Macaca mulatta: one gene and its partner. The protein of the gene in region 1 interacts with the protein of each later gene in a biochemical or structural test. Links are inferred from orthologs where the notes say so. Each region holds a gene or a part of one and is shown in the gene's direction. Other genes may lie near its edges.

The links. The genes of interacting proteins can lie anywhere in the genome.
Region 2: of the proteins of H2AC20 (region 1) and MYSM1, one has a biochemical effect on the other in vitro, tested with the Homo sapiens proteins (2 studies listed by BioGRID). The link is inferred for Macaca mulatta from reciprocal best matches to the Homo sapiens genes H2AC20 and MYSM1.

What each region holds. Positions count from the first base shown.
Region 1 is NC_133406.1:117,264,206-117,266,302, reverse strand, and holds H2AC20 (histone H2A type 2-C), read left to right. Parts: upstream 1-975; 5' UTR 976-1,032; coding exon 1,033-1,422; 3' UTR 1,423-1,442; downstream 1,443-2,097. Other genes in the region: H2BC21 (histone H2B type 2-E), read right to left, coding at 318-698; H2AC21 (histone H2A type 2-B), read right to left, coding at 1,583-1,975. UniProt on the Homo sapiens protein: Core component of nucleosome. Nucleosomes wrap and compact DNA into chromatin, limiting DNA accessibility to the cellular machineries which require DNA as a template.
Region 2 is NC_133406.1:181,988,364-181,992,018, forward strand, and holds the end of MYSM1 (deubiquitinase MYSM1), read left to right. Parts: intron 1-288; coding exon 289-439; 3' UTR 440-3,065; downstream 3,066-3,655. UniProt on the Homo sapiens protein: Metalloprotease with deubiquitinase activity that plays important regulator roles in hematopoietic stem cell function, blood cell production and immune response.

The sequences.
Region 1 (2,097 bases):
GGCGGGTAAAGAGGCGGATTCCCAACATCCTAATTGAGAACCGACTCCTGGGAATGCTAAGCAGCACAATGAGTGAAGACACGCTCTAGATTCAAAAGCAAATCCAATCATGCACCGGGGACCTCAAGTTCCAAATGGTTAAAAACCTACGTGTGGCATTTCCCATGACCTTTACGCTAAAATTACTTTATGAGAAGAAACTAAGGGAGTAAGTGAACAAGCTCTTTTCTAGTGATTAGGTGGGTGGCTCTGAAAAGAGCCTTTGGAGTCAAGCAGCCGGCGACTCGAGCGAGCGAGCGCCAGGTCCCGGCAGGGACTCACTTGGAGCTGGTGTACTTGGTGACTGCCTTGGTGCCCTCGGACACGGCGTGCTTGGCCAGCTCGCCGGGCAGCAGCAGGCGCACGGCCGTCTGGATCTCGCGGGACGTGATGGTGGAGCGCTTGTTGTAGTGCGCCAGGCGGGACGCCTCTCCCGCGATGCGCTCGAAAATGTCGTTGACGAAGGAGTTCATGATGCCCATGGCCTTGGACGAGATGCCGGTGTCGGGGTGGACCTGCTTCAGCACCTTGTACACGTAGATGGAGTAGCTCTCCTTGCGGCTGCGCTTGCGCTTCTTGCCGTCTTTCTTCTGGGCTTTGGTGACGGCTTTCTTGGAGCCCTTTTTAGGAGCCGGAGCGGATTTTGCCGGTTCAGGCATGGTAAGACACAGTACAAACGCGGCTTAGCCAAGAAAAGAAGTAAGAGAATGGGCGGGCCTGATTCTTTTATAACCACCTTATGCAAATTAGGGCTCCGAAAGTCATTCATTTCCATTGGTCCGTGTGCGGACCTTGCGTTTTCAGCAATGCGTACGCAACAACACCGACTCTTGACTTGATTGGCCGGTTCTGAAGCCATATTAGGACCAATGAAAAACTCGTTCTAGACCCCACCCCTAGGAAAGCTTATAAAGGCTTTCCTCTTGGTTCTCTTTCAAGCTTATTTTGTAGCGAGGTTCTGAGCATTGTCTGTGTTTAACCTTGGTTTCAGTCATGTCTGGTCGTGGCAAACAAGGAGGCAAGGCTCGCGCCAAGGCCAAGTCGCGCTCGTCCCGCGCTGGCCTCCAGTTCCCGGTAGGGCGAGTGCACCGCTTGCTGCGCAAAGGCAACTACGCGGAGCGGGTGGGGGCTGGCGCGCCAGTCTACATGGCGGCGGTCCTCGAGTACCTGACCGCCGAGATCCTGGAGCTGGCGGGCAACGCAGCTCGGGACAACAAGAAGACGCGCATCATCCCTCGTCACCTCCAGCTGGCCATCCGCAACGACGAGGAACTGAACAAGCTGCTGGGCAAAGTCACCATCGCCCAGGGCGGCGTTTTGCCTAACATCCAGGCCGTTCTGTTACCAAAGAAAACTGAAAGCCACAAAGCCAAAAGCAAATAAATGCAGACAAACAAACCAAAGACCAAAGGCTCTTTTTAGAGCCACCCAAGTTTTCAAAAAAAGAGCTAATGCGCTATTTCGTGATCAGCCCTTCATTTGACACTTTGGTGGCTCTTAAAAGAGCCTTTGGGGTGAATGAGTATGGTGTCAAGCCTCTTAATTACTTGTTCTTGCCAGGCTTGTGACTCTCCGTTTTCTTGGGCAACAGGACAGCCTGGATATTGGGTAAGACGCCGCCCTGGGCAATGGTGACACCCCCGAGTAACTTGTTGAGCTCTTCGTCATTCCTCACGGCTAGTTGCAGATGGCGAGGGATGATGCGCGTCTTCTTGTTGTCCCGAGCCGCGTTGCCTGCTAGCTCCAGAATTTCCGCGGTCAGGTACTCGAGGACCGCCGCCAGGTACACCGGGGCGCCTGCCCCCACCCGTTCCGCGTAGTTGCCCTTGCGCAGCAAGCGGTGCACTCGCCCCACCGGGAACTGGAGGCCAGCGCGGGACGAGCGCGACTTGGCCTTAGCGCGGGCCTTGCCTCCCTGCTTTCCGCGTCCTGACATTACGGCTAAAATTGCAGTTACAGCTTCTTTTACAAGGAGAAGAATGTGGAAAGAATAACCAATTTGATGTAATTTATAAGAGCTACCGGGAGGGGTGAAGGGAAGTCGTTTGATTGGCTAAA
Region 2 (3,655 bases), about 65 Mb from region 1:
AAGAGTTTGGGGCCTTGAGAGCACAATTTTCAAAGTAATATTTAGTATTTTCTGACTATAGAGTTCATTTGTCTTGTAAAATATATTTTAAAATTACAGAGAAGTGTGAAGTACAAATATCTCAGTGCTACTATTTAAAAAACGCAATTAGTGTATAAATCCTTCCCCATCTTTTTAACAGCATAATTTTAGTATGTTAACATTGGTTACTTTTTTATCTCTTCTTCCATCATTTTCCCTGCTTCCTTTTTCTTTTGTCATATTCTTAAAACAATTTTGCAACCACAGGTACCCACATTGCTGTCACTGCCAGCCTTGGGCTACTACCGAGGATAATGGAGCCAGGGCCTTGGAGAAGCACAGAGGAAGTCTAGAACTGAGGGGGCCTATGACACAGGAAGTTCAGGATGCAGGGTCTCAAAGGAACACCTGCCTCTAATGTTTACAGAAGTGAAGAAAGGACTAAGGGACTTAAAGACATGCAGGTGTCTTCATCCTGATTCTGTCTTTATTATTGCGCAATGGCTATAAAATAATGAGCTTAATTTTTTTTTTTTGTTTTCTGGGTTGGCTAATGGAAATCGACGCTAGCACTTCCCCAATATTAGACTTACCTAATTCCAAAGTAGCATTCAAGGAAAGAAAAAGCAGTGGAGCAGGATCAGTAAGCTCAGACTCTCCATCTCCATTATTTTAGCCTTGACCATTCTTCTCTAATCCTTTTAAATTATCTTCAGTTTCCTGTTCAAATTATATGGCTTCAGTTACAATTTGTTTGACCCTGTATTCAGAGCTGCAATATGATTGTTGTGGGCCCTAGGTAGTTTTGCCTTCTTAGACCCCTTCTTCCATACAAAATTTAAAGTGATATTTTACAATTGTGTTTGTATGAAATGAATGTATTAATATTTTAGATTAAAACATTTTGTTTAGTCTAAAAGTTCAGTGTTTTCTTATGAGGCTGAAAAAAAAATTAAAATATTTTTCTGGGCTTCTAAAATACTGTGGGCCTTAGGTACTGTGCGTAATGGATAAGTTGGCACTGCCTATATTCTGAAGGGCATCACTGGAAAAATAGCAGTCATTATTCTGTCCCCTTCTCCCACTAGCACAGTTCTTGGGGAAGCCTTTGCCACCCCAAGCAAGAGCACTATAGTTTCCATGGTTATAGATCTATAGACTTGAACTTCCTTCCCAACCTAACCAAAACTCACGCGGGTTACTTGGGACCATTCATCTTCAGAAAAGATAGGAAGCAGTGGTTTCTTTTAGTCTTCAGATATTTTGTTCTGGTCGGTCCCTAATCTATAGTTTTGAAACTCGTGCCGCACTTGAAAGGGAAACATCCTACTACCTTTCTTTGCTCTCCATTTCCCACAAACCCTTTCCTTCATCGTCACTCCCTCCATTCTTCTCAGCATATAGATACAAGACCCTTCTTTCTATTATTTGTTGAGAGCTAGGCCTGTAGAATAGAGATGAACAGACCATTCATGTTTCCCTGAAGCTATTTAATGCTGCTCCCAGTCTTCTGTCCATACCATTCCTTCCCTGCCCCTAGGAGTGGGGTTAAGGTCTGTGACATGCAGACTGTAAGCACAGTCAGAATCTGCAGCTCTCAACCCAACAGAGACTGTGGCCTCAACATGCCAACCGGAGCAGGTCTCCTCCTCTGCATTACCTTCCTCCCATTTCTCTTGCTGAGTCCTGATGAGTTGAGCTGGAGGAACTAATAGTCAGGATGCCCTGGAATTGATGCTGCTCTGTTTTGTGCTCACAAAAGAGCCGTGTAACACATGACCACCTGAGTTGAAGCCATCCAGTCGCAAGTCAACAGACAGCAGTTGATGGAATTCTCAGTAGAAATTCAGTAAGGGTGCCCACATTTTTTTTTTTCCACCTATACTCTACCAATAGCTAGATTGGTCTAAATCTAGAGTCACTTATATGGTATTTAGGAAAACTTGTTTTATCCAAGCACAAAGAAAAGCACATACATTTTTATGATCATCTGCTTCGTCAGGGTAAATAAATGATTTAAAAAGAATTTTGATCAGCAGCTCTAGTTTACCAGTACTTTAATATTAGTTTTCTTACAAATTAATATATTTTGCAATATTTCCAGAAAATCAGTGCGGGAGAATAATATAATTTAGGATATATTTCCTGACCTTTTCTTAAATGGCTTTATGTGCTATTCCCCCACATTCTGCTTTCTCTATTTTCTTTTTTATTTAACCTATAATTATACTTTCTAGTATATTCTGAGTCTGTCTTCTAAGCCACCTTACATTTTTCCTGGAACAAGAGAGGGAATAAATATGTTGTCTCTTAAATCAGGAGAAAATAAAAATATCCCAGGGGAGCTGTGATTATGCCAAGAGCTCTAAACAGAAGTTTGAGAAGGTAAAATTAAGTTATAATGTCTGAGTTGTTTTTATTTTCTTCCTTTGATGTTTACAAAGGTATCCATAAGAACTTTAATTTCAGGGAAAAAATGCCTGATTTGCTCTTTTTGACGTTTCCTTGTCTCTTAAGAAGTCAGTTAAATATTTTTCATAGTTTATATTCCTATTTCATAGATTACTGTAAAATGTGTTTAAACCTACGAATTATAAAATAGTATTTAGATTCTAGCATGAGTTAAATAGATCAATCATATATCTTTAGGTTTGTGGATTTGACATGTAAATTATGTGTTGTGTATAAGTTACTAAACATACTGCATGGTTATTGATAAACTTGTTGCTTGTTTTTTCCAAATGCTATCAGTGTTTGTGGACTTTCTAAAATTAGTGTGAATTTTGGAATGTTCTGTAATAAAATATAATTTCAACTATTTTGTACATTTAAACATGCCATGTTGTATATGTCTGTATTTAAAAATATTGTAAATATCTGCATTTTTAGAATTATGAAAGATTTTCCTCAAAAATGACAACTCTCCATACTTAATTGTGACACATTATAAAATATCTGATTTTAAGCTTTTGGATTTTATCTTGTTCTAAAAATTAAGTTTAAACATGCTGGAGATTCCATAAAAATAAAATTTTGAAAATAAAGTGATCATTTCGATTCTTTCTAAATTATTAGCAATATATACATTGAATTGCAAAAAAAAATGCCACATATTAATTTATCAAAGATTTGTTGAGCATCTATTATACAGAACACTGTAGGGGAAGCAAAGATGAGGAAATCTTGGTTTCTTCCCACAAGAAGCCTTATCTAGTAAGTGGGAAAACAGATAAAGCCCAACATGAATAGCTAAGACACTAGGATGCAAAAAGACTCCCAGGGTAATGGATGGTTAAACAAATGAGAAAATTCTCTGGAATATGAGCAGTGAGATCAATTTCTGGGGAAGAGAAACCGCCTAATCAGATTTGGTTAAATAGCATCTGTGGGAGGATGCTCCAGAGAGAAGTGTTTAGCATAGATGTGGAGATAAGGAATGAAAATGGTGCGAGTTTTGGTTAAAGGGTAGAGTATATGACGATGTTCGTTACGAAAGCAATACACATTCTGTCAATGAAAGGCTATAGAAGGTGTAAAGGAAGTGAAAATCTACCTTAAAAGCAGTATTCACTCATTTATTGATCTTCAACTTTCCAGGCTGTTTGCAAAACCTATAAATTTTTTTAAAAACCCA